Bombyx mori: one gene and its partner. The protein of the gene in region 2 interacts with the protein of the main gene of each other region in a pairwise test. Links are inferred from orthologs where the notes say so. Each region holds a gene or a part of one and is shown on either strand. Other genes may lie near its edges.

Region 1 (17,109 bases), on a different chromosome or scaffold from region 2:
GATTGTGTGTTGAGCAAAATGTAAACCGATGATGTAATAAAAAATAAATTGAAAATTTTGACTTATGTGCTTTAGTCTGCCGACCCTAGAATTATACTTTAGTGTATTTTTTTTACCTATTATATTATACATTAAAAAAAATAAGCGGTAAAATTTCGGTTATTTTTTATTGCTTATATGGGTGGACGAGCTCACAGCCCTCCTGGTGTTAAGTGGTTCTACAACGGGACATCTACAACGTAAATGCGCCACCCACCTTGAGATATAAGTTGTAACGTCTCAAGTATAGTTACATGGCTGTCCCACCCTTCAAACCGAAACGAATTACTGCTTCACGGCAGAAATAGGCAGGGCGGTGGTACCTACCCGTGCGGACTCACAAGAGGTCCTACCACTAGTCTCTAAATAATTTATACAAAAATTTCGTTATCGTGTTTTAGAATTATCGTACCGAATTTTTCTTTTCGTGTTAGAATGAAACCGCGTTATAGGAGGATTACCTGTATCACGGTCGACTTCTATACTTTCAATTCACCCTATTCCAAAAGACTATTCTTTTGTTACCATCAAAACGTGTTTTTCCACTAATTACGTATTCAGCTAAACCTCTCAATAAATCAATACATTCCTTAGACCTAAAGTCAATCCTCTAAATACATTTTTTCCTTGTTTACAAACGCAATGACTGTATCGTGCTCTGTTTTATTTTAAATAGTAGTTTTGAAGTGAAACTTCTAATGCGACTTCATACAAGGTTGCGTTAAACGTTCAACGCTCCTTGGGAGGGGGAATTGAAAGAGACAGAGCGAGAGTGTATGCGTGGCACTCGAACGCGTGCGCGTAGTATATCTGTTACAGCGCGAGCGTTAGCAACGAGTAGCGCCCAATATTTTAATGAAGTATTTAAATATATTATATATTTATTTTTCTATAAATATAAAATTTAAATATTGAAGATGTCGCATCTCTTATACACAGCATTCCCTATTACAAGAGCCAATCTGATTTAAGGATGAAAAATGAAGAAAACCACAATAGGTACTACACATCGAAAAAGAAGTTTCACTTCATTCACGTGCCCCTAGTTGCACGCGCACCGTTTTTTGACTAGAAGGTAGTCGAGTGTGCTGTACCTCTTTCCGGCTCCGAAGGGCGCAGTCCTCGAGGGTCTCGGCGGCCTCGTACTTGCCCTGGCGCCGGTACAGCGCGCCCAGGTTCTTCAGCGTTGTGGTCACTGTCGGAGAGTCCACCTGCGGCACCACGCCCTACAGTTAGCTCTAAGTCTATCTAACTATACTGAGACCTTAGAACTCAATCTGAACGTTGTAGATGTCTATAGGCTCCAATAACCGCTTAACACTAGATGGACTGTGAGCTCGTCCACCCATCTAAACAATAAAAAAAATTCACGACGAGTTCACGGTCAGTCGGAGTCCGTAAGCAACAACAGCGTATATACCGCCACCCATCTTGAGACAAAGGTTCTAAGATCTCAGTTGCGACAGTACAGCGGCTGCCCCACCCTTCAAACCGAAACGCATTACTGCTTCACGGCAGAAATAGGCAGGGCGGTGGTACCCACCCGTGCGGACTCACAAGAGGTCCTACCACCAGTAAAGAGGTATGGTATGATGGTATCATGGTATGGCGTACCTTGGCGGCCTTGTGCCAGCCTCCGTACTCGCCGTACGGGGCGTTCTCCTTCTGCAAGTGCTTGTTCTCCTCGCGCTCCTCCGCCACTTGCCAGATGGGCTTATTGTCACCTGTCAACAGACACCAGTTAATGACAGACGTCAAATATATACCAGTACAAAAACGACATATAGATTGACTTTTCGCATTAAAAGTGTACAATTCCCAAAAATATTCGAAATTGAGTTAATATGAGGAATCATTTGGTATCATCAGTATTTTTCTCATAAATACTGTCAAAAGAGCGTAATGTAGTTTTAGTTTTTTTAGTGTACCTATGTTTTGACTGCTATTAACAAAATTAATACATAATTGTATCTTACTTTAAAAGACTATGTAACTGGTAAAAAATAAAAAATTAATGTTGCAAAGATGATTAATATTAAAAATATCACATGTTAAACTTTTAAAACACTCTCCTGTAAAATTAGTAAGTTTTTAGATTATACAGTTTTAATGCGAGAAGACGATATTTGATACTAATAATAATTAATTTACGGATGCTTGAAATAAAACGTTTTCAGAATTAACATTAATTGAATAGTAAATAGAAATTTCATTAATTACAAATTAGTAACACTACTGTGGTTAAGAGCGAAGTAGTATAAAATTAATGCAACCACATGATCCTTTTATTAAGATATTAATACAATTATTCTACCCGCCATAACCTTTCTTCTTCTTCCAGACTAAATTAGTGTACCAAATCTTTATTCAGATACTGAAGATTAAATTTTGATGTAATTCATCTTATTTCCCTCCTCCTATTTCTTACATATTAATACATAAAGGCTAGTTCATACTACAATCAAAAGGCCATCAAAGTATCCATCACCCTGTGTTATAAAAACAGATTACAAACTATATGTGACACAAGTCGGGAAGGTGTGACACAATTGGCAACAGCTGACGTTTACAACATAAACAAATAAAAAACAAACAAAAAAAAAAAAAGTAAAAGAATCTACATCCATACAGCCTTTCCTACCTGTGCCACACACAAATCCAAACTTGTGTCACTTACCTAATGTCATATTTTTATCAATCCATTATTGAGCGCACACATGTTTCACAAAAAAACACTTTTTCTTTACATTTCCAGAAAATTGCTTATCTAAAAACATGGCAAAAAATATATATTTTCGTTATCCTATATCACAACAAGAAAATAAAAAGCATTATTGAGCAAACAAAACAACAGACTATAATAATACAACCGTTTAATAAACATATTTAGTTAAATATTAAATCAACAATATTTTTTATTTAATAAAATTTACATACAAAAAATTCAGCGAATATTTTTTTTGGCAAAGCATTTTGGTTTCAACAAATAAACTGATACATAAAATAAACGGTGGTCTTAAGCAACGAAGCAAATAAAATATTTTCAAAACATTAAAAAAAACATCACGATATTTCATATTTATTTACATAACAGTTTTTTTTTTAAATGAAATATGGCAAGCGTTTCATCATCGAAATTTAATAGCTTCTTAAAAGCGATATAAGTCTTTGAGAAATTTATTTCATTAATACATTATCTCAAATTTAATAAAAAAATATTATGTAATGTATGATAATTGAATTCAGAATCATGAATAAATAATATTTAGTTTTAACAAAATTTCGTTTATTTCGACAGAACAAAAAAAAAACCCGATGAGAGATAATTTACTGCGCACCATTTTCTACAAATTTTTCGAAAAGAAGCTTGTATTTTTGCTACTAAATAACAAGCTCTTGAACGAGCGACACTTTCATTTCTATTTCTAGTTCTCAAACATTAACGCATACTACAGAAATCTAACTAATCGTCTTTCTTTAAAAAAGACGGTAGAGACGAAATAACACTTATTACCTGAAGCTATAAAATTGATAAGTGATCAATAGTAGTCAGGAGGGAGATCCTCGTCACAGTTCTGAGGATTGAATATTTCACATTCGCCAAGTTACATTGCGTTACATTGCGGGATTGGAAAACAAATTATTTCTATTGCGGAACCTAGCAACGGTGAGTTAGTTAAAAACAAAGTTCATCTCTAACTATTCTTACATTAAGTACATATCTCATTTATATCATCACGTAGTACGGTCCGAAAATTCATTCCTTCTTTATATTAGAGAATATATGAAATAAATTATTTAAACAATATACTCCAATGATTTTTCTAAGCGACAAGTTTATAACATAATAGGAGTTTCAGATAATAGCTCACACATTTCATTGCATTTCACACGTTTATCTGTAATGTTGGCAACACCGTGTAACAATAATAAAAAAAATTATCCTATACATGAAAGACGGTAGCACATTAAATAATTATAAAAGCAAGAAAAACTAACAAATGCACATAAGAGATCTCATAACACAGACAGAACTCATAAGTCTAACATTGAAATAGCAACATCAGTTTACATCTATAGCCTCTTTTTTTGTATTTTCTTATAATTTCTTATCGAACGACAGCTACCTATCTACCTAAAATAATTGTATACAATAAATAAATAAATGCATAGCGCGAACGGATTCAAGAATAAAATATAGCAACATTGAAACGAGAAAAAATAATATCATTTATGTGGTAACACCGCTATCGACACCCTGTTTTTAAAATCGTGTATTCACCGAGAAGCGTTTCCTTATAATTTATTAGCTTTTAAACGTGGCTTCGCTCGCAGTCATAGTATTTATTTTGGGTACCTTTTACGCAGAAAGTAAATATCCAGGGGTAAAAGGCTATTTGATTTAAGTGAAATTTATCTTGTAATTAAACGTGGGTTTTATTTGGTACTAGCTGACCCGGCAGACTTCGTAGTGCCTCAATCGATAAATAAAAGACCGACAGGGGACACATCAAAGGAAAAACAAAATTGTTATTTTTATTTAATTCCGAGCATTTTCATATTTATCTAACCTTTTAAACCTTCTCTGGAATTCCACAAATTATTCAAGACCAAAATTAGCCAAATCGCTCCAGCCGTTCGCGAGTTTTAGCGAGACTAACGAACAGAAATTCATTTTTATATATAGAGATTAGCATCCACAGTTCGATGTTTTTAATTGAACTTCAATTTAGTTTACTCCATTATTCAAATAGCTGAAGAAGGTATTTTTTGTTATGATATTTTTCCAAATTTAAACTTTAAATGACTCTTCTGTAAATTTTCAAAATTAAAATGTGGTATCGTGGGACACCAGGTAGGAACGAAGTTCCTTCGGCTAATGTAGAATCGACACAATTTGCAAAAAAAAAATCGTACTCAATTTTATGTAGGTTTTCTTGATTTTTCTCTTAAATTTTGCTGATTAGTTTTTATTTAAGTATAGGAAAGTATTTAGGAAATTCAGTATTTTAGGAAATAATAAATTACGTAAAATAGAAAGAGAATGGACGAGAGAACGAAAAGAAAGAGGGAGAAAGAGAAAGGTATTATACACTACTCGCTTGTGTATGCGACTGTCGCGCCTGCGCACGTCTCATATAACGGTTTTATTCCACGCACTTTTTTCCACGGATTTTTTCTTACGGTTTTACTATCACATTTTTTTCAGTTCGGTCGCGCAGCAAAATCCCTATCCCTCCAAGCCTGCCGTAAGGAACTTCGTTCCAAAAATGTCACTTAAACCAAATAACCTTAACACCTCGATATGTAGTCATGATTAAAAAAATTTTTTTGAATTTTCTCATAATGTTTTCACTTTAAGCCGCTTTCAGACTACGCTATAATATAATAGCATGTAGTATATAGCTCATAGCACAACAATATCGCACACCATACATTGTTATGGACATGTTCACACTGTACTGTACTATATATTATTGGCGTAATATACGCTGCTATACTATATGGCACTATAGTACAGCGGAGCGGTCGCGGAACTTTTTTACTTATTACCCCAAAATATTTTTGTGTAATTAACCCATGGCGAAGAACAAAAAAAAAACGAAATCGCTTCTTTTTAGCGTCTTTCATATTATAGCCCCCATGATAATTTTGAAAAAATATATTATTTTTTCGTTTCGTTTCATTTCGTTTCATCGAGTTTGAAATCACAACGATTCTAAAGAAGTTTCACTTCAATATAAACATTTTACTCACAAAAGTTTCATTTTTACCCCCCAAAATTTCATTTTACCCCTGTTCCCCGACTGCTGGTATAGCGTAATCTGAAAGCAGCTTTAGTTTAGACACAAATTCATTCAAACCACTGGATTTAAAGTGAATAAAAGGTAGCAGCTTACCCCGGACTAACACATGAACAGAAAATTGTAAAGAAACTTGTTTCTCAAGGAATTCAAGATAAGAAATCTTCAGCATTTATTATATTTAATATATTCATTATGTTATTAAGGCACAGTTTTATAAGTCATTCTTTTTCCTTTATATATGAATATTGCACGTTGAAAAATGTTCGTATACTAAAATATATTCAATTTCTTATTCGGTAAGACTTTAGCAATCAGTCGAGTTGGGAATGTAGGAAATAGAACGTATAACTCGTTATAAATAATGACCATCGAATTGATTTCATATAAACAGGTGAATATTTAATATGTACATTGTAAATATTTATTTGAATCACGCATAACACTTTTACCTCGGAACGATACCTTAAAGATTAATTAGCTAAGTTCTATGTTCTCTTAGAACGCTTATAGCTACGGGTGCTGGGTTATGTTATTTTTTAGGTTTTTTTAACGATGCTATATATTCTGAAAATGCAAACGAAAATAAATTTTACTAAAATACGAATTATGTGTACATTCTACGTTCATATAAAAATATAAATTTTCAAAATATGCTATAAAATAATAATAAAATATTTTTTGGCAAAAAAAAAACCTTATAAAGTTTAATTATTGGCAGGTGACCGTTGGAGAATAATGATCACTTACCGTCAATGGTTCCGAATTCTCGTTCATGAGCCCGCGTCAACACCTGCTTGTAGAGAGTCTCGGCTTCCTTGTATTTGCCCTGCGAAAGAATTACCCAAATATTATACATTCTTTAATGATTACTCTACTTTAGTGTTAGTTTTTACTGGTGGTAGGACCTCTTGTGAGTCCGCACGGGTAGGTATCACCGCCCTGCCTATTTCTGCCGTGAAGCAGTAATGCGTTTCGGCTTGAAGGGTGGGGCAGCCGTTGTAACTATACTGAGACCTTAGAACTTATATCTCAAGGTGGGTGGCGCATTTACGTTGTAGATGTCTATGGGCTCCAGTAACCACTCAACCCCAGGTGGGCCGTGAGCTCGTCGTCAACCCATCTATGCAATAAAAATAAAATAAAAAACGCAACTCATCTGAAATCATCCAAAATTATTTCTAATTTGTTGTAAGATAGCAAGCACTATACGCATTACAATTATTTTAAGTAAATAGTGATGTTTAGCGTTGATTTAGTGTTTACAAAACAGTTATACAATAAAATACATAAAATGGATATAACAATGTTACATGAGATGACATTAAATAATGTTCAAGTATAGGTCACTTAGACATCGGAGAACTCTAGAAGCAACATTCAGGGAATTTGTTTAAATTTTTTATATTTGAACAAATTCAAAGACACTAAATAGTGAACGAGTGAGTTACTACACATTCAGACCAGTGTGCTTAGTACGAGTTTTTTAACGTTTTCGATAGCGTAAAAGTTAAGTCAAATTTGTATGCAGTTGGAACGTTGCCTACGTTTGCCGCTAGGGGCGCTGTTCCAACTGCATAGAACGTTAAAAACTCGCACTAAGCACACTGGAGACACAATGAATTGACTAATGAACACTAAATCCCACAGCTGCACTGCCGCGGTGTACCGGTAAATAAACAAATGTGTACTCGCCTGTTTGAGATAGCAGGAGGCGAGGTTGTTCTTGGTCTTGGCAACGTTGGGGTCGTCGGGTCCGAGCTTGCTCTCGTAGATCTCGAGCGCGCGCTGGTAGTACTGCTCCACCTCCTCGTACTTGTTCTGGAACGAGCGCGTGACGTGAGAGAGCGTCGGGGGGCGGGGCGGGGGGTTGGGGGCGGGGGCGGACCTGGTTCTGGCAGAGCAGCGCCAGGTTGTTGAGCTGCTTGGCGACGTCGGGGTGGTCGCGGCCCAGCACGGCCTCGCGGATGCACAGCGCGCGCTTGCACAGCGGCTCCGCCTCGCGGTACTTGCCTGCAACCACACACATCCATTACACACGCGCCAACAAACTTAATAGTAAGAAAACAAGTATTAAGTATAAAGGGTTTTAATTATATTAGTTTACTAGAGAGAGTACCCGTTCGCCTTGCCGGGCATTTAAAATTAACATTATTATTATTTCCCTCATAAAGACGCCTAATTATTAACGCCCCTGCAACTGGTGTAGGGAGTCCAACACTTGTATAAATATTAGCCTATCCATTAAGTACATGTATTTTCTACATGGATACCAAGTTTCAATTCAATCGGATGCACGGTTCAGTAGTTATGAACGGAATATCCGTAAAACCACTGTACATTTATATATTAGTATAGATTACAATTTTAGTAGTATTTATTTTAAAAAATATTTTTATTTATTTATTTCTTATGTGGGTGGGCTTACAGCCCCGAGCCAAGGAATCCATAGACATCTACAACGTAAATGCTGCCATGTACCTTGAAGATATGACGGGAACAATTTAACTTTAACCATTTTGAAATGTTGAGCTCTTCCAACTACGCCCTAACTGGTAGGTGAGCTCACGGACTCAACTTGACAAAATTTGCTAACACTGACTCTAGCAAGAGCAGTGCTTTGCAGAATCTACCACCGGATCGGAATCGCAAGGCATTGAGAGGATCCGGCAAGAAACTCAGTGGGTTAAAGTTCTTGTGTCCCCCAAGCTAACGTTGGATGCAGAAGTAGAGAAATCATCACCTCGCTTCCCGTAGAGCACGGCGAGGTTGTTGAGCGTGGCGGCCACGGCGGGGTGGTTCTCGCCGAGGGTCTTCTCCCGGATGGACAGAGCGTCGTTCAGCAGGTTGGCGGCTTCCTTGTATTTGTTTTGGTCTCTACAATACCAAATACAATATGAGTTTTAATGCTAGAGAATAAAATTTCAATTAGTTTGCAGTGTCAGCTTAGAATATTCCCCCGACCACCCCAACCTCTCCCCGTTGGTGTCGTAAAAGGAATCATTAATGTACTCCTGTGTATAACCGATATTCACAGACTACATACAGGCCTTTTAAATTATATATTAAGAAGATTATACAAGCATTTTTTTTTAATTGCTTAGATGGGTGGACTAGCTCACAGCCCACCTGGTGTTAAATGATTACAGATACTCACTTACCTTACTACTTACCTTAGAACATATATCTCAAAGTGGGTGACGGATTTACGTTGTAAATGTCTATGGGCTCCAGTAACCACTTAACATCAGGTGGGCTGTGAGCTCGTTTACCCACCTAAGCAATAAAAAAATCTATTACAGACATAGATTTAGCGAAAAAGAATTTGTAAGCAAAAATTAAAATAGTTTCATTTGACGACCTGTAAACAAGAGCCAGTATGTTCAGCATGGTGGCGACATCGGGATGGTCGTGGCCCGAAGTCTTCTCCAGGTCTTCGAGTGCTTGCTTGCAGAGGGGCACGGCGACCTCGTACCGGCCCTGCGACGCGTACTGTATGACCAGGTTGTGGAGCGTGCGCAGGCGGGCCGGGATCTCGTACCCGGCGTTCACTTGCTGGGCGAAGTGCATCGGCGGCGTCGGCGACATCGCTGTAACATTGTTTACATTGTCGTCTTCTCAAACTTTTTCGTCTGTGTGTTGCATGTCGCGGGACGGTCGGCCGCGGAGTAGGGATAAAGTGAAAAGCGCTCGTCAGAGCAGCCAAGACCAATATGGCGGCGCCTAGAGCTCGCAGCAGCTGACCGTGTAGTGTAAAGACTATTACTCATTTGTACCAGTGCTGCAGTAATGTTACTACAATAGACATAATGAATGCTTATCCGCCACTTTGAGACACGTGAGGCACAAACACAGCATCACTGACAATCTGTGGACTCGTCCGAAGAGGCAGCATTTAAAGCAGTTCCTTACATTTATTATTCCTGTTGTCGTCGTGGTCATCGTCAGGGAACAGCTCGACCATCGGGTCCTCGCGTTTCTTCTCGCCCTGACCTGTACGGTTACTGTCCGACTCTTCGTTTATGTCGCTGTCGTATTTACTGCAACAATCCACAATGAGCTTTCATTCATCAATTCGATTTCAATATTTCTCAATAATAAAATCGTTAGTATTATCGACATTTACGTCGGAGACAAAATCATTTCCATACTACGGAGGGTAGATAAAGGAGACCTTTCTAATATGAGGATTAAACCGACAAAATGCTTAAAACTTAAAAACCGTTTACGAAATGTCCAAATTGGCGCTAGTGAGTCGTCTATTATCAAAGGTGGCAATCTGTGCATTTGGACAAAAAAATGTTATTGATATGTCAATACAGATTGATTTGAATATAATCGTCTCCTTCAAAGAATACGGTTCAAAACCCGCATTAAATAAAGGTTAATACTTAACCTGTTATTTATCTAAGATGTCGTTCAGAAGAGTTTTGTGACTGCCAATGGAATACAAAGTCAATAATTCGTTTTTCTGATTTACCAATAATTGTCCAAAAGTCACATTGCCGGCTTTGATACTAGTCGACTCTAGTATCGCATGAGGATTAGATACGGTAAATTGTCAAATACAAAATTTATAAATGAGTTTAAACGTCGTGGCACGTACATACGTTAATCGCTAACCTATATTAATAATAGAATAAAAACTTTTGTGTGTGACAGACATTTGTCGATACAGAGTTGATTTTGTTATTATCTACCCTTCATGATGTCATAGGGTAACATTAATAATTGTACTCTCGAATCTTTTTCCATTAATTGGAAGTCATTTTGAAAGTGTTTCTTGAATATTTATTTATATTAATAGGCAGAGGACAAAACGGTTTAATAGTTTTTGTTAACCGTATTTTCTCTTTTTTATTCCATAGCTCGGTAGGTTATTCTATGGCAACATACAGCATGATGATAATTTTAAATAATTGTAAATAGACATGCTTTAGATTTAGATATTCCAAAACAATTTAATATACACTAAAAACAATAATCATCGAAATCGGTTGGCGTGATATTGAGTTATTGAGTTATTCATCTATTATGTCGCGCACGTACTTAATGCAAATTTAAGACTTATATGGTTTTCTCATGGGTACCATTATCAGAACTGGACTAAATTGAAATGGGACCACACGGGGAGCGTCAGCTTTCTAATAAAAAAAAGAATCATCAAAATCGATTCACTCAGTCAATATTTCATCCCATATCATTTCATTTAATTTCATCCCAGTTGATCTCAAATTAATCATCTTAATTTTATTTCATTTCATTTCACTCTATATTATCATTTTTCATATAATTAAGAATATAAAAAAAGTAAGATATGACTTAAAGGTCTTAGTTACCAGGTCATAAAATCCTTTAAAAAAATTGTCACAAGTATTTGTAGATTTAATTCTTAATGTACGTTAGTTTTTTGTCTTACCGTATGGAAGCCATGAACTCCAAATGCTTATTCTCCTCCTCCAGCTGTGCTACGCGTTGTTCGGAAGCCTGCAGGTGCTGCTGAGCTGCAGCCAGCTCGTCCCTCAGCCAGGCGTTCTCTTGGCACAGCCTGCGGACCTGCGTGCGGAGTTTTTGCTTCTCTGCCTCGACGGACTGAAGGTGAGATGCCAGAGCCGTCATTACCTGTAGGAAAAGGTATAAAAATGTGGTTAAAAGCTTCTTTTTTTGTCAGGAGGAAAACGCCGGACTTTCGCCCTTCACTGGGGATGGAGGGCGGGGCATGTCGGAGTCGAAGCGACTAAAACCTCCTGTCGCTCAACAACCAGCATGCGAACCTCGCATGAGACAGAGCTTATGGAAAGGCAAAGGGGGGAAAGAGAAGCGTTTAGTGCGGAGCACATCTCTCCCATCACCCTCCCCCTCGGGACGCCGGGCCGGCGGTCGTCGGCGCCACGACCACCAGCCCTCTCGGTCGGCAGGCTATCCAAAGCCCATCTAAGGTTAAAAGCTTAGCATAATTCGTCTTCTCGTATTAAAATTGTATAATCTCAAAACTTACTAATTTTACAGGAGAGTGTAACATGTGATATTTTTTATATTAATCATCTTTGCTACATTTATTTTTAATTTTTTACCAGTTGCATTATCTGTCTTTTAAAGTAAGATAAAATTATGTATTAATTTTGTCAATAGTAGTCAAAAAATAGGTAAACTAAAAAAAAACGCTCTTTTGACAGTATTTATAGGAAAAATACTGGTGATACCAAATGATTCCGCATATTAACTCAATATTTTAGAAAATTGTACACTTTTAATGCGAAAAGACGAATTATGTATAACTAGTGGTCCCCCAGTAGTCGAAATTCGACTATAATTAATTGAAATTTTAAGTTTGAACATTATTTGGGTTCTATTGTCGAAGACTATTTTACTCTAAAACCCAGATTACGCCAAGACTTGTTATTGATGTGTATTTTTAATCCATAATTTAAATAAATATTTACATTCTGCACTCCTTCTCTATATTCTCTATAAGTGAAGAAAATTTCATACTCCTCCTCCGTCCGCGCAATTACGTCGTAAAAAGGGATACAAAGTTTTTGCTTCACCTACTATTAAATATAGATAAAATAATATCAGAGGATCAGCCCTGTACTTCCTCCGAGATTATACCCTAAATGCCAATGAAATACCTTTTAATTATAATAAGATACTGAAGTGTATCAGTAAAAACTTTTCTCACTTGATATCCTTTCTCAAAAATATTTAAGTACTGCAGTCAACTTTTTATTTTTACTGCTTAGATGGGTGGACGGCCTCACAGCTCACCTGGTGTTAAGTGGTTACTGGAGCCCATAGACATCTACAACGTAAATGTGCCACCCACCTTGAGATATAAGTTCAAAGGTCTCAAGTATAGTTTCAACGGCTGCCCAGCCTAACAAACCGAAACGCATTACTGCTTCACGGCAGAAATAGGCAGGGTAGTACCTACCCGCGTGGACTTTTAAGAGGTCCTACCACCAGTAATTACGCAAATTATAATTTTGCGGGTTAACTCCATATTTTTTCTCTTTGGTTTAATTTCATGAAGGTTAACATCACTCATTTTATCTACTTAGAAGGACGCTTAGAGTGTTGTCAAAGTTATAAGATATATTAACTGCTGGCTGCAGAAGCATTCGATGGGAATTCGAACAAAACCGTCTTCGGTTCCTGCACAGCAACAGCAAATAACTTTAGTCGATGCTCAGACCTGTTTCTCTGGGTTTGTTAAATATAACTCGATACGCGAGACAGTTGGCAATGATATTTCTAGAATTAGGTTCATTACGGAAACGGAACGATTCTCGATCGATTTTTAAAAATATTTTTTATAGTTCTTTAAAAAACTGAGCATTTAGAGACACGAGCCCATTGCATTGGATGAATGAACGACCTTTTAGCTCATTTGCTGTGAAATAGTTGTCGGAGCTCATGGAAATCGCAACGTTAATGTTCTCAACCTCTTTGAGTCATGAGGTTCAATTCCGACGTAACCTAAGACCTTTCGATTACAAAGTACGTAGGATACCATTCGAACTCTTGATTGTATTCAATTCAGTATACATAAGAAGGTACGATCTTCAAGCACTAGAGATTTCGACCTTGCCTCTAGGTCAAGGACAATAACCTTGAATGGCAACGGGTTGTCGTGATACAGTCGTCGTGGCCTAAAGGATAAGACGTCCGGTGCATACTTGTTGAGCGATGCACCGGTGTTCGAATCTCAGGCAGGTACCAATTTTTCTAATGAAATACGTACTCAACGAATGTTCACGATTGACTTCCACGGTGAAGGAATAACATCGTGTAATAAAAATCAAACCCGCAAAATTATAATTTGCGTAATTACTGGTGGTAGGACCTCTTGTGAATACGCACGGGTAGGTACCACCACCCTGCCTATTTCTGCCGTGAAGCAGTAATGCGTTTCGGTTTGAAGGGTGGGGCAGCCGTTGTAACTATACTTGAGACCTTAGAACTTATATCTCAAGGTAGGTGGTGCATTTACGTTGTAGATGTCTATGGGCTCCAGTAACCACTTAACACCAGGTGGGCTGTGAGCTCGTCCACCCATCTATGCAATAAAAAAAAGTCACTGGATAAATATTAATGTTCAGTATGATCAACTTAATATTATAATAAGGAATACTTTCGTAAGGTTTAACGAGTCGTGGTCAATCGAAAATTCTTTTATTAACCGACTTCAAATAAAAAGAGAACGAGGTTCTCAATTCAGAGTGTTATCTTTTTTGATGCGTTCGTTCCATTTTTTGGTTTTAAAACCCCGATGAATGGTTTGTTATAGCTTGACGAACATAGAAGTAAGGAAAACTACATAGCTTGTTGTTTTTATTTACAGTTGAAGCACCGAGCTGTCAACCCTCCTTGGGTTAGATTACGTTAGATTTTTACGAAATATAGACGAACTTTTACCGTAACCTTTTTAGAATGATCGTGGTAAGCTTTTTACCAATGAAGTTTAGCTGAAGCGTCGAGATCCGCTGCTAAAATTGGTCACCCTTAGTTGTGGCTTATGAAAAATTATTTGTACTAATAACAGGATGGCAGCGGTCAATAGTTTTTTTTTTTTTTGAGAGGAAAGATAACCTGGCTCAGTGGCCTTTTTTGCCAGGACAGGTAGGTAGGCGAGAAAAGGCTCAGCCAGGAAGGAGGAGATTTGCTAACAGCTGCTTGAATGCCTACGGAGAAAATCTAACAACTCAAGGGCAGCTGCTTCACGAAAGAAGCTGCCACCGGATAGGAATCACGACCCGCTGAGAAGATCCGGCGAGAAACTCAGCGAGTTGGTCAATAATATCGACGCAACATTTATACGAAAATAAAAACATTTTAATTTCTTATCAATGACGATGGAAAGAAATCGAAAACTGCTAAACTATAATAATATGGGGCTCGTGGTGCCCATCTATGACCATGGTTTCTTCAGAAAGTTTAAGCTATAGCTTTGCCCGTTTACCATGTTATCGACCAGAAAATGGTTCAGTAATCGAAGCGGTTTTATGTACAATATTACCCACTTAAAAGAATTTCGTTGATTATTATTAGCTGGAGATTTGAAACACGCAAACATAAAAAAACAGAATTATTAACAATTCATTTTACTTCGCTGGAGCTTCAGAATGTAAATTGATATGTAATATCTTTTTTATTATTATCTACTGTTTAATGTAATTTGTACCTTGATATATCCATATCTACCATACAACAGATTCCATTCACTGCCAGTCTGGCAGAATTGTTTTTACTGGCGGTAGGACCTCTTGTGAGTCCGCACGGCTAGGTACCACCACCCTGCTGATTTCTGCCGTGAAGCAGTAATGCGTTTCGGTCTGAAGGGTGGGGCAACCGTTGTAACTATACTGAGACCTTAGAACTTATATCTCAAGGTGGGTGGCGCATTTACTTTGTAAATGTCTATGGGCTGCAGTAACCACTTAACACCAGGTGGGCTGTGAGCTCGTCCACCCATCTATGTAATAAAAAAATACAGTAACGTAGGAGGAACTTTTAAACCACTAAAAAGGGATTTAAAAAAAATGCACGAATTTTTCCAACTTCCGTCTGTGGTACTAATATAGTCCTCTCCTAATTTAGCTTCGTCTTGTCTATCTTGGTACAATACCTTTATATTTCTGAAGCATTATGTATATCGGTCGAAACGTCGGGTTAGTGTTTAACGGCCACAAAACAATTACACACTTTATTATAATAAATTCCCGAGGGCTATTGTACCAAAAACTTTAGAGCAAAATTAAATTTAAAAGTAATTTAATAACGAGGGCTCATTAGACAGTTAACGACTATGTTAATGACGAAAGTACGTAGAATTTATGCTCCACATGGCCACAGCACGAACAGATCTTGTGCCAGAGATAATTAACTCAGAAGTTTCTTCAAGTTCAAGTCATCTTTATTGAACGTACCTATTTAATAATACAGTGCAACCTAACAAATTCCCGAGGGCTATTTCACCAAAAACTTTAGAACATAATTAAATTTAAAAGTAATTTAATAACGAGGGCTCATTAGACAGTTAACGACTATGTTAATGACGAAAGTACGTAGAATTTATGCTCCACATGGCCACAGCACGAACAGATCTTGTGCCAGAGATAATTAACTCAGAAGTTTCTTCAAGTTCAAGTCATCTTTATTGAACGTACCTATTTAATAATACAGTGCAACCTAACAAATTCCCGAGGGCTATTTCACCAAAAACTTTAGAACATAATTAAATTTAAAAGTAATTTAATAACGAGGGCTCATTAGACAGTTAACGACTATGTTAATGACGAAAGTACGTAGAATTTATGCTCCACATGGCCACAGCACGAACAGATCTTGTGCCAGAGATAATTAACTCAGAAGTTTCTTCAAGTTCAAGTCATCTTTATTGCACGTACCTATTTAATAATACAGTGCAACCTCGATATAACAAATCGGTAGGGAACAAGTAAATATTCGTTATATCTAGCAATTCGGTAAACTGAGGTTTGTTATATTAAGGTTAGGTTGGTCTACCATTTGTTATAACGAGGTAAAAAAAAAATTTATTTTATTTACTTCAACATTACATACTCATCTTACTAATCACTTTCAACTTACTATCAACTTTTACTAATAAATGATAACACATTTCTATCAAATTACTGTATGTTTTTTTCTACTTAAAAACCATTAGGTAGGTAACATTTTTTCTCAAACCTTTCGAGACCGATTTACACACTATGGGAATAAGGGTCATATTGTTGGGAACGTTATATGAAGGTTTTGAGTTTACAAAATTCGTTATAAAGAGGTTGTTCGCAATGTAAAGGCATATTTTACATTGACTCTTATGAATAATTCAAGGGGATAACGAATTTGTTTAATCGGGGACGTCGTTATATTGAGGTTCGTTTTTTTTGTTTATTTTTTCGCACATGAGTGAACGAGCTCACAGCGCACCTGGTGTTAAGTGGTGATCGGAGCCCATAGACATCTACAACGTAAATACCGCCACCCACCTTGAGTTCTAAGGTCTCAGTATAGTTAGAACGGCTGCCCCACCCTTCAAACCGAACCGCATTACTGCTTCACGGCAGAAATAGGCAGGGTGGTGGTACCTACCCGTGCGGACTCACAAGAGGTCCTACCACCAGTAAATTACCACCGTTATATTAAGGTTGCACAGTATATTGTAAATTTTGTGCGTCAAGTACCTATATAAATTTGGCAAAGAGCAAACCCTGACTTTCTTGCCGATTCTTTTCAGCGGCGA
Region 2 (17,109 bases):
CTAAAATGTTTTTTGTAAGCCGAATCGAAATATCACAAGAGCGTTTGATTACATTAGTAAAAAAAAAAAACTAAATTAATGAGTTGAAAGTTCCAATTGTTATGAATATACCGAAACCTCTTCGACGTTATTAATGATGTTACACATTCTATTAAGCCGAAATTTAGCGTGTTATTTTATTATCGATGTAACGTTAAACATTTTAGTAGAAAACAGCACCTGGAAATCAAATCAAACAATAGGCACATGAAATGAAAGAAACAAAACCAAAACTACAAAATTTTTAAGCATCGATAAAAAGCGTATTATAATAATTAAGCGTCAAATTACTAACAAATTTAAGCTACTATAGCATTGTCTGGAATAAACGTGGATTGCGGTAATTATTATGTGATCAGAGAGACTAACGTGCATATTGCTTGGTTTGATGTAAAATTTGTAGTATTCTTTTTAAGAATCATGTATGGAGGGGTTCGATGTGTTTGTTATACGAAATGTTAAGTTTCATTATTAATAAACATAATGGCGATGTCAATATGTCAAACAGTGTATGTAATTAATACGCATATTTAGATGCTCAATGAAGCTCTCCGTATACGTGGTTGATAAGGTTAACTATTCATAATCAAATGTTACGTTAGTGAAGCGAACGATGCCTAATCGATAATTTATTTTTAATATTATTTATTTATCTATCGAACATAGTGTGTTACAATGAATAATGAAAAAAAAAAAAACATCTTTATTGAGCACTGCTCTATGCATTTTTAGTTATTTGATTATTGTCGAAAAATATTTTTAGCATATTCGCAAAAGAACTAGAAATTTGAATTTCGCGCATGATAACGACACGTTATTTTTACATAACAAATAATACACGTTGCTTTGCTTATAGTAATTTAAGCAAATAAAATTGTATCCTTAATTCGTTGAGCAGTTGACTTGAAAGCGCAACAAACAAACAAACCCATTTTTATATTTATATATATATATATATATATATGTAAAGAAAAACATTCATTGTCTAAAAACTCTTTGGATTTCTAAAAATTATTTTTCTTGAAAGTCATTCAGTGAAGTATGACATTTAGTAAAAATAATGTGCAGTTTGTTTAAAATCTTAATATTATTATTATAGATTAAGAACTTTAAATGTTTTTTCTTATAATACATATAACAAAAAACGTAATTAAGAATTTTATTGTTTATTGATTCTAAAGTACCCAATATCATTCAGTCTGTGTTTTTATTATGTACGTACGTTTGGCCTACTGCTCTTTATATACCTTGTTTTCATAAAATAAGCTCCTTACCTATTCTAAAGTCAATATATCCCTCGCCTCCGGATATGACCAGCATCGGCGGCTGGTTCGAACCTTGCTGGGGCGACTCCGGTGTTCTGGCTGACGAACTAGCGGCCCCCGGTACCGCCACGAAGAACTTGACCGCGTCCCGGTGACCGTGGAAGCTGAGCTGGGCGTGAGCCATCGAGCACCAGGGTATAACCCCAGTCGGACTCGCGGATCTCGTTCGATTTAATGTTGCATGAACTGAAAATATTGCCTGGTGTTAGGTGGTTACTGGAGCCCATAGATATCTACAACGTAAATGCGCCACCCACATTGAGATATAAGTTCTAAGGTCTCAGTACAGTTACCACGGCTGCCCCACCCTTCAAACCGAAACGCATTACTGCTTCACGGTAGAAATAGACAGAGTGGTGGTACCTACCCGTGCGGACTCACAAGAGGTCCTACCACCAAAAATGCGTCCGGATATTTTTTTTCTTTTTCATCTTAATACAAAAGAAAACGAAACACACTTAACCCCAGGTGGGCTGCGAGGTCGTCCAACCATCTAAGCAATAAAAATAAATAAACAAAAACTTACTCGGATCTCGATTAGCTTCGGACAGTGGCACGGATATAACAACCCCATTGCTGGTTCCGATCCAAAGACGCCCGGAACTGATTAGAAGCGCCGTGATCCTGACCAGAGAGAATCCAAGTTTGCCCGTTCCGAGCATTTTGCTCACGTACGGTTCGATGTCGACGTTGCACAAGTTCTTGTATGTGTGCGCGTGGTACAGACCGAGGGTGGAGTCCATTTTTATCGATACCTAAAAATGTGTATTTCATTTATAAAAAATTACATTTTTCATTAACCGGTTGGACATTGCAGTTAATCGATGTAGTCAGTCAGTGTGTATGTCAGTCTTGTAAAATGTGGTAAAAGTCTATATCGTATAACGGCTATACTAACACTCAAACTGGAATCAGTGAGTGTTTTGCTGTTGACACCGATAGGGAGATAATGGCGACAGCCCGTCCGGAGTGACGATATACGCTAACGCCAATAATTACGCGATTAATTAATTCTGCAAGTTGATTTCGCTCGGGCGACGAGCACTTTGCACAATTAGCGCAGTCCCAAGACACAAACCTTAGCCAATAGAAATAGCCAGGGAAGTCAAAAAATTTTGGCTAAAAAAAATATATTCTTCCCATTTTTTCAAAGCCTCTTCGATGGCAACAATCCATTTTTATGCAATTATTCCTTACCCATACTCCATCGCCGTGACACGCCATCTGTCGCACTTGACTCTCTTGTCTAGGATGAGCTTCGAGGGTGTGAAGTAGTTGTCTCGTACGAGGATCGATCACCTGGACCTTGTTGCGGTAACCGCACCAAACCGTACAGCCGACCGCACTGAGACATCGCACTGTTGTAAATCACAAAATAATTATGGGTAAATCTGAACTTTATCTATATATATCAAAAAGGCAGTTCGTTAGTCTCGCTAAAACTCGAGAACGGCTGGACCGATTTGGCTAATTTTGGTCTTAAATTATTTGTGGAAGTCCAGAGAAGGTTTAAAAGGTAAATAAATATGAAAATGCTCGGAATTAAATACAAATCCCCCGTCGGACGGATTCCTTTTGTTTGTTTTAAGTTTATACAAAAGTTTAGGTCTTTTATTTATCGATTGAGGCACTACGAAGTCTGCCGGGTCAGCTATTTACAATATAACTCTTATGCTTAAGTTGGCAATTTTTTTTTTTTTTTGTTTAGATGGATGGAAGAGCTCACGACCTAACTGGTGTTAAGTAGTTACTGGAGCCCAAAGACATCTACAACGTAAATGCACCACCCACCTTGAGATATGAGTTCTAAGGTCTCAGTATAGTTACAACGATTGCCCCACTATTCAAACCGAAACACATTATAATTTTGCGATTTCATTTTTATTACACGATGCTATTCCTTCACCGTGGAAGTCGATCGTGAACATTTGTTAAGTACGTATTTCATTAGAAAAATTGGTACCCGCCTGCGGGATTCGAACACCGGTGCATTGCTTAAAACGAATGCACCGGACGTCTTATCCTTTAGGCCACGACGTCTAAAGTGACCTATGAGGACTAAAGATATTCAAAACCGAAACTAATCAATATCAAGGTCATCCTAATGATGGCGTTGTTAAACCAATTAATATTTCTAAGCGAAAAATTTTTGACAAAAAAATGTGTTTAATTAAAATTACCTGAACATTTAGAATCGCCTAGAGTCATGAGCCAATACTGAGTGAAATCCCACTGTCCATCTGCAAGTCGGGCAAATATAGCTACCGTTCCATCAGCGAGAGCGACCACGCAACGAGAAGCACACGACACTATGGCCAATATAGCATCGTTCAGTTTGATCCTGTTAAATAATAAATACACATCTATACTAATATATAAATCTACAGTGGTTTTTACGGATGTTCCGTTATAACTACTGAACCGTACATCCGATTGACTTGAAACTTGGTATCCATCTAGAAAATACATGTACTTAATGGATAGGCTAATATTTATATGAGTGTTGGACTCCCTACATCAGTTGCGGGGGCGTTAATGATGAGAATCTTTGTGGGGGTGAGAAATATTAATGTTAATTTTAAATGCCCAGCGAAGCGGACGGGTACAGCTAGTAATCGATAATTTTTTAAACATACAACGTACAATAACAATGATACGTAGCTCGGGTATCTTTGAACGTTCTTTTTTTATTATATGATAATTTAAGTCGACAATTACTTAATGTGAAAATCGCGAGAAAGGTTCTGATTTAGTACCATTAAACTACTACACATGTCGCCATTTACCATATAACAAATAGATATTTTAATATAGTTCAGCGATAGCAACAAGGCATTGTTGTATTAATATAGTACTGGTGAATAAGATACTCGAAAGTCGACTATAATTAATTGAAATTATAAGTTTGAGACTATTATGAAACTTCTATAATCACAGATTTCGCCAAGACATATATAGACAAATAATATTCATCTATTCTCAATTTGAGCGCAGACTAACAAAAGTTTGACAATAAACATAATAATATGTATGTGTTGTGTCAAATACATGGTAGTGTGTGTGATGTTTTTATTTATTGATTAAATGTAATTTTATTAAATATTATATATTCCCTATAAGTGTGGGAAATTTCATACTACTCGGTCCGGGCAATTTTCCTAAAAAGTGGCACAGAGTTTTTGCTTCACATATTAATCAATATATAGATAACTCAATTACTATTGAATTTATCAATTTATGTTAAAGTAACATATCCGATGTACGTACCTTGCCAAGCACTTGCTGTAGTTTCCCATTGCGGAATGTACGTATAGGTTTCCGTTTTTGGTTCCTAGCCACATCGTCGCCATCACGGTGGACATCTTTCGGTCCGGTACATCGCCGCGGTTCTCGACGTTCGATTGTTCCTGTGCGAACGCGTCCAATCCGGGCTCCGGTGAACTGACCGATGGCTCCGTTACTGTAACAATATTTTTTTTAAATATCAAAGGTCGAAGGAATTATACTAATGAACATCGACGCTTGAAAGGTAAACGTGACTAAGCGACAATATCTGCTTTGTACATAAATGATAGGCAATAACCATATTCGATGCCCAAAAAAAAATATTTCTAGGTCTATTAAAATCATTTCAAGCCTACAGCTAGATTCGTTAAAATATAATTTTTTCAGGTATTTCAACTTTAAATAAGTTTACTGTAAAGTTCACGCATTGTCGCTCAGTCACGTTTGCCTTTCAAGCGTCGATATAATGAAGTCGTCGTGGCCTAAAGGATAACACGTCCGGTGCATTCGTGTTGAGCGATGCACCGGTGTTCGAATCTCGCAGGCGGGTATCAATTTTTCTAGTGAAATACGTACTCAACAAATGTTCTCGATTGACTGACCACGGTGAAGGAATAACATCGTGTAATAAAAATCAAACCCGCAAATTTTAATTGCGTAATTTCTGGTGGTAGGACCTCTTGTGAGTCCGCGCGGGTAGGTACCACCACCCTGCCTATTTCTTCCGTGAAGCAGTAATGTGTTTCGGTTTGAAGGGTGGGGCAGCCGTTGTAATTATACTGAGATCTTAGAACTTATATCTCAAGATGGGTGGCGCATTTACGTCGTAGATGTCTATGAGCTCCAGTAACCACTTAACACCAGGTGGGCTGTGAGCTCGTCCACCCATCAAAGCAATAAAAAAAAGTGAAGGTGAATATTTAGATTTTTCTTACCATTATTAGGAGTGGAGCTTAGTGGCGGACTGTCATGACCGTCGTTCTCTGCTTCGTCTTCAACATTCTTGACCATCGATTCTTTGGGATTCTCGTCATTATCAGCAGCTGGTTCTTCTGGCTCCTTCACGGGAGTACTCGGTGGAGTTAGAAGGGTTGCCTTTATCTACGAAAATTGAGAATTTTATTATTACTGTCTGTAACTATACTTAACTTAGCTTTTTAATTAATCGTATATGAGTCGACTATTATCAAAGCCGGCAATCTGACTTTTGGACAATGATTGGTAAATCATAAAAACGAATTATTGTCTTTGTATTCCATTGGTCAGTCACAAAACTCTTCGGAACGACATCTTAGATAAATAACAGGTTAAGTATTAACCTTTATTTAATGCAGGTTTTGAACCGTATTCTTTGAAGGAGACGATTATATTCAAATCAATCTGTATTGACATATCAATAACATTTTTTTGTCCAAATGCACAGATTGCCACCTTTGATAATAGACGACTCATATATACCAAATAAATTTACCAATTTAGTAGTTCCAATTACAGTTTCGTTTTCAGTGTTCTCCGTGTTCGTGTCCTCGACGGGGCCATTAGGTTGGCTCTCCACAGACTCACTCTTTCCCACGCATAACAACGACTGGCGAAAAAAAAAACAAATTAAATACACGGGTCCTTCCAATTTCGAAAATTAAATAAAACGTTGTTTTAATTAATGTAGATTAAACTGCCACCTTCTTCAGTGGTTCGCCCGCACTAATAGACGACACGGCGTGAAAGTAGCTACTACAAAAATATATACAATACGAGCTTAAAGTGTCAATAGTATCAGAATAATCGGCAGGAAAAAAGTGTTAGACTTTGAAATTTTGCTTTTTTTTTTATTGCTTAGATGAGTGGACGAGCTGACAGCCCACCTGGTGTTAAGTGGTTACTGGAACCCATAGACATCTACAACGTAAATGCGCCACCCATCTTGAGACATAAGTTCTAAGGTCTCAAGTATAGTTACCTACAACAGCTGCCCTACCCTTCAAACCGAAACGCATTACTGTTTCACGGCAGAAATAGGCAGGGTGGTGGTACCTATCCGCGCGGACTCACAAGAGGTCCTACCACCAGTATAATGTTCGATGCGATCCAATTTTGCGTCCGAGTACTAAGACCAAAGCCAAGTATTACCGAATGACGCTTCGTTTCGGTGTCCCCAGACATTCGTTCTTCGTAATCTTGATAATCTTCTGAAGTGGCACCAGGCACTGAAGCTACACAGAGAATATGCTTATCGCTCACTGAAAAGGATTCGATCACGTCCGCCGGATTGTTCGCATCGATGATCTAATCAGAATAAAGAACACTTTTAATATATGATTTAATGGTGTAAGTGCAAGGGAAACCTATGATAGATGCTCTAATAATGAACAAAAAAGCTATACGTTTTAGCCACTAAAAGCTCCCTCTTCCTATGGAAACGTTGATTTGTGTTTATATAATTTTAAATGTATTATTAGGAATATGGGTACATCTAAGAAAACGTTACAGGATTCGATTTTTAAAAATTTGAGTCTGAGCATTGTAAATTTATAAATCGTTTTAATAATTAAATTATAAATATTCGTTTTTTTCTCTACCTACGCTGATAGCCTTGAGAAGCCATTTCAGCTTCGCCTTAACGTGTAGATGAGCTCACGGGGCTCAAACCTGACGACGTTGCTAACACGAACCCTAGCAACAGCCGTGCTTCGCAGAATCTACCACCGGATCGGAAACGCGACCCACTGAGAAGATCCGGCGAGAAACTCAATGGTCTGTGTCTGTGGGTTAATTTACTCGTCGAGCCCTTCGTCGCAAGCGACGAGTTCGACAAGGACGGTAACCGGTGCTTGTGGTACCTAAAAGCACCGTTAACGTATCGGGAGGATCCGAAATGAATATTCGTTAATAAATATACATATGTCTATTGGTACACTCTGAGCAATGGTTGAATCAATTTAAGGGTGTGTTATTGAACGATGTATTAACATTCGATTATTTCATGATTTTTTTAAAATCTAAATTTAATTACCATAACCACTCCTTTAGCCTGTGTACTAGCACATATCCAAACCAACGAGGACAGATTCTTTTCAGTGTACTCCACGCTCTGAGTTGACTGCAGCTGTCTGCTGATCTGCTCGACCTCCGGAGAATGCGCTGACTGCGCTTTGCTCATCTCGTAGGCTGTAATTTTTTTTTGGAAATAGAGTTATGTCATTTTTAATACGCTTTTATTAGCTTCAGAAGTATGTATGTTATCATGTAACAGAATCTTTAAACATAACTTTGACCCCCTTCAAAACGTCGGATTAACTCGAAATTTGGTATACTTATTAAGGACCGATGAAAATTCAATATTTAAAAAAACATTGAAAAAATTTAAATTCTACTAAAAAATTAAAAATAAATAATAGTTTAAAAAAACTAACAAAATCATTCAATACAATCAAACAATAAAATAATTTTTAGTTATCCTATTTTTAATTCAAGATTATTAAAATTATTCTTTACCAATAGGCACTTTTCAAATGTCACCTCCTGCTTCGAGAGGTGATGTTTAAAGTCAGTTTATTTTATTACAAACATATTATTTTGTTATCGTGACGCTGTTCGTTAATGCATTTTTTTAAAATAGTTCTGGGCCCTTGCTTTTTGAACTTCCACACCATAGACTTTATAGCAATATTTAGCAAAGCGCGCGATTTTCGTGCAATCAATGAAAAGCGCTTTTATACGGCCAAACTAAAGGTAAATTGTTAAGGGCACTCTTAAACATCCACAATGCCAGAGGCTTGGTTCCTTGGCGACCTCTACTCTTTCTTAGCAGACGGACGACGGAATCTCAAACACTTCCTCCGACCTCTACTCTAGAAAATACGATAAAAAAACTCAAGACGGAATCAGTCTCACTTTTGACCGAGATATACCATTCAAATCTTAACTGACTTTATTATACGTACCTAAGGACATATTGTTCTCCGTCTTATCGTCTTCATTTGCGTAGAAAACGCTCTCACCAATCATGCAGCCTCCATCCGGAGTCCTACCTCCGTTCAGGTTTACGCCGGCCGCACACAGCAGAGTCATACGCGGCTCACTCTCCGCTATCGGGCTATTACAAAATGTTTGTGTTTAAATAATTTTACAATGCAAGACCTAGAGGGAGATATGACAGAACTTCCACAGACACAGCCCACTGAGTTTCTCGCCGGATCTTCTCAGTGGGTCGCGTTTCCGAACCGATGGTAGATTCTACGAAGCACTGCTCTTGCTAGGGTCAGTGTTAGCACCACTCCGGTTTGAGCCCCGTGAGCTCACCTACATGTTAGGGCGAAGCTGAAATAGCCTCTTAAGGCTATCAGCATAGGTAGGGAAAAAAGACAGAACCAAAGCGTTAAAAATCAGAAAACAACAGGTTATTTGTAAAAATGAGTTCAAAGGGGTTATTTAAAATGCTACTTTTTTTACAATATTTCAACTTTGGTTTTGATATATATTATCAAAATTTGATTGAAATGATCGAATTTCTTTATAATTTTAACAACTCGATCAATTATATTAAAATTGGTCAAAAAACTTTGACATAATTTATAATTAATTATGTACGGCAACTTTATGGCCTGCCTAGTATGAAATTATTACATGAGCCTCTAGACATAACAACGTGGACACTGCCTTATATTTTGAGGCATAAGTTCGAAATCTCCGATTGTTTTTAATAACGACTACTCACCTTACCAACCGGGCACGTGATTGTGTCGAAGTTAAAAACAAACAAAAACATTTTGATCTTAATAACTCCCTTCGTTATTTCAGATTGGGTTATTTCAATTAGAAAACAATCGATTATACACCCAATATACTAGTGTCTATAAGTGAGATAATCATTTGTGCCGATCAGTATGCGAGTGTTACAAGTCGGCTTTCCCTTTCATATCCTCAATGTGAACGGCGGCATTTACGTTATCATATCTATGTGTTGCGATAAGATTAAAAATCGCGTGCTATACAAAAAAAAAAACATTACCGACAAAAAACCGGAACTGGTACCGGAACTCCCCCCGACGACAGGGACGCTGAGGGGCTCGGTCCCTTCTGTCCCTGGCTGTTCTTCCCCGGGAGACTCCAACCGTAAGCGTGCGTGCGCCCGTCTTCCTTACGCACATGTACCCGCACCTACACCCCACCACTCGGTTTGGTAACAACATCGTAACGGACATGAACGTCTTGAGGAAGAACATGTCAATTCGATTTAATTATAATATAAAAACAACTTATTCATGTGTGTTTATCAAATTATTTTATATCTCTATCTGTATACACGGTAATGACACGCTATTCATGGCTGTTTTATTCAATGAATAACATTCGAAATTCAAGAGGTATTACACTCTTTTAATTAAAGTATATTACATCGCTATAAAAGTTATCAGTGACATCTCAAAACTTGTGTACATAGTGTTACATAACACAAAACGAAATTGACAAGGCACATGATAGATAGTGGAGCCAATTATAATAGCAAGAGCGCAAAATAAAAATAAAAAAACACAAATACTAAAAATAACAACTTTATTTCATCAAACATCACAAAACGACGAACGTAAGAATAAAGCAACTACATTAAAATAGCAGTTATAACGTAAATTAAAATATGCTAAATGACACTTTACAAGATACTATCCTACATCACTATTTCATCATATCACTGTTCGTTTGAACATTAAATTCATTTAAAATTGAGGCCGTCATTCATTTGGCTGCAAACAAAAGAAAGGTAAAGGAGATTACGTACAGGAAAAGGGTAAAAAGAAATAAATAAAAAGACGAGTAGGTACGTCGAAAACGTACAAGAAGAGATTAAACCAACAGAAGCGAGCGTAAGAGGAAATATATAATTTGATGCAGAGCTACATATGGACATTGCATGCGTATTCAACGACTCTGACAGTGCACAGATATAACGGAACGTCAATATCAATGTATGGGAATGTTAATATTGTAAAATAATCTAAAAAACACGTGTGCAACTAAATTATTAGGTTCTTTGGCACGACACTCAATCGAAAGCGAGCTAGTAGAAGAATATGAAGTCTGTATTCGAATCTAAATCAATGTACACAAAAATTATGCAATGAGGAAAGGAACCAAAGCGCAATCAATACATTCAAAAGACCAAGCGAAGATAAGCAATAATGAAATATAACAAACAGCAATATTAAGTACAAAATAAATATAATCGGGCCAAGTATTATGTTTGTCTCATTTGGTCTAGCGATTTCTTTTTGTCTATAGAAATTTTTTTCTGTCATATTCTGGATAGTTTTATTCATTTAATTATATATTGTGTATATATATATATATATATAATATATTATTTTTACTAATTTCAAAGTTTGATCAACGTAGAACTGCGTATCAAAACAGAAATATCGTAACATAATATTGCCGTTAATGTTTTCAACACAACCAAGGTTATGTTGACTTTTTAAATCGAAAAAAGTTTTTTATAAGTTTAATATTGTTTATCGTATTTGATTATATATTTTATATTCGTGTTACGCATATTCAACATAACAATGTAACAAAATAAAAAGTCAACAAAACAATGAATAAACTAAAATGTGCCTGTCTATATCTGTTAAACATTTCTTATAAAAGTTTATCTTACCTGTCGGAATTGTTCGGTTCTCTCGTGTCGCTTCTGGTGGTGGTCGGAAAGCTGCGCCTCCAAGAAGTCGCCTTGGGTTTGTGAATGTCTCATCGTAGGCTGTGAGGCGGCCACGGCTCTTAGATGAGGAGTGGAAAGCGGTCTTTGTGGACGATCGTTCGAACTGTAAATTCCACAATATTACAACATTAAACTCCTATCTGTTTAAGGTCTATCAAAAAAATAATACACATATAGCTCGCTCTGCGCTACACGCTCAAAATTAAAACATCATTAACAAACATTCATTAAAACATTGATCGTGCAATGCGATTCCAATTTAATTAACTAAACTTTCAAATTGACAAACAACGACGCGTTTAAATTGAAGCACTAAACATATAATTTCCTAGAGCTTAAGAATTACTACAATTATCTAATGATCAACTATAAAAGTTAATGAAAATAAATGAAAATAAATGAAATAAAAGAATTACGCAAGACGCATAACTAACTAAATGTATGTTATAAAGGTAGGAAAAGGAATTTAGGAGTAGAATAGTTTTACAACGAGAAATAACAGTAAGCATACAAACAAATTGATTGAATATCTACTGAGCTAACTTACCATTGTACAATCGTCACGTGAAAACTAAAAGCTTTAATAATATATGAAACCAGATTTTCTTTCAAAGGTTCTTATTTAAATCATGAGATGAAAAAAGTTTGAGGCAGTCTTAGGGTATCTAAAAACAAACTTGATCAATTACAAAGCAGAGTCATTAAGTTCGAAATGTTCTCAAGGCGATAAGTATAAGCATTCGAATTTTCGATTAAAAAAATTAAACATAAATTCAAAACACATAACCTGACAAATCGCTAGGACTATTTAACCCTAATCTGACTAATTATGTAATATAAATAATAAGATTTTATTTAAAACAAAACCGTCGCTGGTTCAATTCCCTTCAGTAATGTAACTAGTACCGCTAGTATAATTTTGTAAATATTTTTAAATCTTCTCCTCTTTTTATTGTATTTTCAGCTATTCTCTCTCTAGGCTCACTAGGCTCTTCTCGTAATACCAGACCTCGAAAAAATTACAAAAAAAACATACACATAATAAACACTTTAAGGGGCGATTATAATCATTATCAGGGCCTCATTATAATCATCAGCGTCATATCAAACATATGAAGTATAGCACGTATTTACATACGTTCATTAACATCATTAATGACTATTATAGTCCACTGTTGGACATATGCCTCTAGTCTCCATCTACTGCCCGGACATCCTACTCACTTCCTATACTACGTTTACCGATTTGCTAATCTTTATATATTATATAATTCTACTGTATATGTGTATGTCACTGAACTCCTCCTAAGCGGCTTTGAATGATTTTTTTTGTATTCGCTTGCTTGGGTTGCGCTTTAGATGGTTCAGAGTCACAAATTGGCTCGACAGATGGCGCTGCAGTCGGTATTTAGGTTATTTATCTACACTGCAACTAAACAGCTGGATCGGCTTGAATGAATTTATGTGTATGCATTACAGGACAACGTAGTCGGATCCGCTAGTTACGTATATAAATACAAAATCATAATTTTATTTTTATGCCTTGACATTAGAAAGAATAAAGTTCAATTTTCAAGGTTTTTCGATTTTTTGTAGTCGTCGTTGCCTAACGGATAAGACGTCCGGTGCATTCGTGTTGAAGCGATGCACCGGTGTTCGAATCCCGCAGGCGGGTACCAATTTTTCAAATGAAATACGTACTCAACAAATGTTTACGATTGACTTCCACGGTGAAGGAATAACATCGTGTAATAAAAATGAAACCCGCAAAATTATAATTTGCGTAATTACTGATGGTAGGATCTCTTGTGAGTCCGCACGGGTAGGTACCACCGCCCAGCCTATTTCTGCCGTGAAGCAGTGATGCGTTTCGGTTTGAAGGGTGGGGCAGCCGTCGTTACTATACTTGAGACCTTACAACTTGTATCTCAAGGTGGGTGGCGCATTTACGTTGTGGATGTCTATGGGCTCCAGTAACCACTTAACACCAGGTGGGCTGTGAGCTCGTCCAACCATATAAGCAATTAAAAAAAAAAATAGGCTTCTGATGTCAAGATGCGTTCACTCTCTCGATACCATAAATACCTTCCAGAGATAATGCAGCTTTTGTAACACCATGTATAAAGTTCGCATTAGCAATAAATTCGCTTTATGTATAAACAATTTAATACATTCGCAAATTAGCCATGAAATACAATTAACAGAAAGGTTGATTGTGTTAATGGGCATATTATTTAATAGATTTAATTTCATTGATCAGCGCCTGTTATTAAAACTACAAGAACTCCTTCAATAACGTGAATCGCGGTAACAACATTTTCACGATACATTTGCACAGATATAAATTCTGAAAAAATCCAATTTGGATTTGGTATATCGGGGTATAAACATTACGCGTTCAGTAGATGACCTTCAATTTAAAGAAATATTCTGGCCGTTTGTTAATTTCTAGAAAAATCTACTATTTTATAGTCGAACATAGTATAGTCTAAGTGATTTTTAGTAAATCCAGAACAAAGCGTTCATAGAATGTTCTATTACACTCACTGACAGCTTATGAAGACATTTCATAATATTACATAACATTTTTATTAATACTTAGCCATTAACATAATAAACCTTCCTAAAAATGACAAAATCCAATTTACTTTATACATAACTATTATTCACTTCTGCGAGATTTTATAATTTGATAAATTAAATAATTTCCATGGACTTCATTATGAGCTTAAAGCCAGACGTTTCATGTGTCTGCTCGTCTAAATTAGTGAATTTCATCTTCACATTCGCGGGCTGTATTTGAATCGTAACCGAAAATAGTAGTAAAGTTAGTCTGATTTTCTAACAAGACTATAAAAAACATTTTCACAGAACTACAGAACACACAGACTGGCGAAGTCCACTGCTGTCACTGAGAAAGGTTAATAAATAGGAAATAATGAACCACAAGTATAATTCAGTTCAGAAAAAACTACACTTTAGTACGTCGTTCTCCAAACGTGATCTAATAAATGCGAGAAAGAAATACCTGTGCAAACGCGGGAGCACCTTCGACATTCTTCGGACTCAGACGACTGAAAACTTATCTCCGCGTACAATTTGATTCGAACGTACCTGAATAGTTTACTAAAAAAAGTCCATATGCTCTGCTTGCTCTTCTTGTCGATGGAGTTGTCCACGCGACTGGCACGAACCATCTCGGTCCAGCGAACGGCATCTTGAAGCTCCATTAATCGTTCCTTTAAAAAATACGACAACTCTTATTAGTTTTAATAGGTTTGAAGGGTAGAGCAGCTGTTGTAACTATACTGAGATCTTAGAACTTATATCTCGAAAGGTGGGTGGCGCATTTACGTTGTAAATGTCTATGGGGCTCCAGTAACCACTTAGCACCAGGTGGGCTGTGAGCTCGTCCACTCATCTAAGCAATAAAAAATAAAAACGTTATTAATTCAAACATTAGTCTGATGAACAGGTTGGTTTGCTCTTTGTCTAGGCGTTCATTATCTATATATGTAAATATTTAAACATATATAAGTACCTATATATTAATAGGTGAAGCAAAAACTTTGTATCAATTTTTACGAAAATTGCGTGGATGAATGAGTATGAAATTTCCCACACTTATACAGAATATAGAGAAGGAGTGCAGAATGCTATTTTTTTTTAATTATGCGTTAATAATACATTAAATCAATAAATAAAAACACACATATATGTATACTCTATGTTTATTGTCAAACTTTTGTTGCTTAGAGTCTGTGGTGAAATTGAGAATAGGTTAATATTTATTTGTCTATAGTGTAGTCTTGGCGAAATCTGTGAATAAAGAAATATAATAGTCTTTGAAAATAGAATCATAATAGTGTACAAACTTATAATTTCAATTAATTATCGTCGAGTTTCAACTACCGGGGGACCACTAGTAATAATAATAACACACAACACAGGGAATTCTAAATTGGGACTGAATTTGGATCCCGTCGTTATTATTATTATTATTCATGAATTTAACTTCGCTAGATAATTCCCGGGGGCATTGTCAATTATGTAACTAGTTCACTTCGACTTTTTATACTTGACTTAATAAATTCATTCATAGAAAAAGTATTGCAACGAACAAACAAACCTAACCTATTCTTATTTGTCATTTTATTGTGTGATGAAATTGACCGTAACCAATATTTTGAAATAAATATTAAAAATTGTGTTTTTGAATCAAGTTATTCCAAAAACAGCTATATGTAAAAACTTTTTTTTCTGTAATATAGGATACTAAGTCTTTTGAGTTAGTGTAGTGTTTTTTTCTAATTCGAAATAGTTATAGTGATAGTGACGTCACTAAACAACAGATGAACAAAGTAATTAGACTTAATAGACACTCAAGTAAGGTCAGAGGGTTTTAGCCTAAGAGACATTAATTAAAATATGACCTAGTTTACGTTAAATTAAAATTACTGATTAGTTTTATCGAACTGGGTTGTAATCCGAGTATTACGCCGCATCTAGGTTATGGTACATTACATAAATAAATAAAATACTAGTATACAAAAACATCGTCTTTCACAATCAAATCCATATTTTCGTATGGAATATTGCTTATGACAAAACGCATACAGTAACGTTAGCTCCAAATTAGAACCTTTTTTTAAGGCATATGTGTAAGTAATAATTGCGGGACATTACAAGGCGTAAAATCGTGTCGAATTATAATGGTCACGACCCTCAGCAGTGAGGAAACGACGCGAGGAGAAGGAGGAGTGTAAGTAAATATTATAAGTCACCTTTGAATTGGCGTATAGAAGACAAATCACAATACTACATGTTCATGTCGGTTGATAGTTATATTAAAAACTGATTGGGTAAAGTCATTCACTTTGTACATTTGTGATAAAGAACGAGGTCAGCTTTCGTTGAAACTATCTTCCGCGCCCAAAGTCAAACAACTAGCTTTCCGTTCTTATTGGTTAAAGTAATGATTGTGTTTATACGAAGCCATTTTATAGGTTTACATATTAGAATAGGGTACAAGCTCACGGCCCACCTAGCGTTAAGCACTTACTGGAGCTCCTAGACACCGAAATGTGAATATCGCCCTACCAATCTTGAGACATTAGGTACTTTACACGATTATTTTTTTACGAGTTTAATTTTTATTACGTAATGTTATTCATTCATCGCGGAAGCCATTCGCGAGCATGACCTAAATAACGTTGGTTATTTAAATTAAATTCAAAAAAAATTGTACCTGTCTGCGGGATTCGAACATCGGCCCTGTTGCATCCCTCGATACGAGTGCACCGACCGTCTTATCTTTTAGGGTACAACTACTTTAAAGCATTTGCGTGTACCTTATATTGGTTACGTTCCATGAGGACACGTGCCATCTCGACGCGCGTGAAGCGGCGTCTCTGCGCCAACGGGACGTCGGCTTCCTCCTCGTTGTCCCCACCGCCGGCGTTGTTGCTCATCGCCTCCTTTAAATCACAAAGTCAATAATTAATAAATGAAGTTTTCATGAAATACTTAATTTACTGATTGTAAGGCAACGCTACAGTGTGTAGAATGCAACTTATAGATGAGCTGTCGACATCAGACAATATTGAACCTTAAGCGCATAATTGTTAACCAGTTTTTTATTTTTTTATTGCATAGTTGGGTGGACGAGCTCACAGCCATCCTGATGTTAAGTCGTCACCGGAGCCCGTAGACATCTACAACGTAAATATCGCCACCCACCTTGAGATA

What was found.
Region 1: the proteins of JNK-interacting protein 3 (region 2) and kinesin light chain interact in binary tests that used the Caenorhabditis elegans proteins (3 or more experiments, as listed by UniProt). The link is inferred for Bombyx mori from reciprocal best matches to the Caenorhabditis elegans genes unc-16 and klc-2.

The regions. Positions count from the first base shown.
Region 1 is NC_085124.1:2,403,535-2,420,643, forward strand, and holds part of kinesin light chain, read right to left. Parts: intron 11,466-17,109; coding exon 11,263-11,465; intron 9,884-11,262; coding exon 9,756-9,883; intron 9,434-9,755; coding exon 9,205-9,433; intron 8,721-9,204; coding exon 8,587-8,720; intron 7,857-8,586; coding exon 7,732-7,856; intron 7,665-7,731; coding exon 7,539-7,664; intron 6,673-7,538; coding exon 6,594-6,672; intron 6,411-6,593; coding exon of another isoform or gene 6,376-6,410; exon of another isoform or gene 2,896-6,375; intron 1,764-2,895; coding exon 1,654-1,763; intron 1,251-1,653; coding exon 1,134-1,250; intron 1,128-1,133; exon of another isoform or gene 1-1,127. UniProt on the Caenorhabditis elegans protein: Kinesin is a microtubule-associated force-producing protein that may play a role in organelle transport. The light chain may function in coupling of cargo to the heavy chain or in the modulation of its ATPase activity.
Region 2 is NC_085107.1:5,305,826-5,322,934, forward strand, and holds part of JNK-interacting protein 3, read right to left. Parts: intron 16,839-17,109; coding exon 16,713-16,838; intron 14,601-16,712; coding exon 14,476-14,600; intron 11,465-14,475; coding exon 11,302-11,464; intron 9,807-11,301; coding exon 9,658-9,806; intron 8,743-9,657; coding exon 8,591-8,742; intron 7,815-8,590; coding exon 7,660-7,814; intron 6,933-7,659; coding exon 6,777-6,932; intron 6,235-6,776; coding exon 6,121-6,234; intron 5,751-6,120; coding exon 5,585-5,750; intron 4,825-5,584; coding exon 4,632-4,824; intron 3,706-4,631; coding exon 3,545-3,705; intron 2,723-3,544; coding exon 2,562-2,722; intron 2,120-2,561; coding exon 1,891-2,119; intron 1,551-1,890; coding exon 1,314-1,550; intron 1-1,313. UniProt on the Caenorhabditis elegans protein: The JNK-interacting protein (JIP) group of scaffold proteins selectively mediates JNK signaling by aggregating specific components of the MAPK cascade to form a functional JNK signaling module.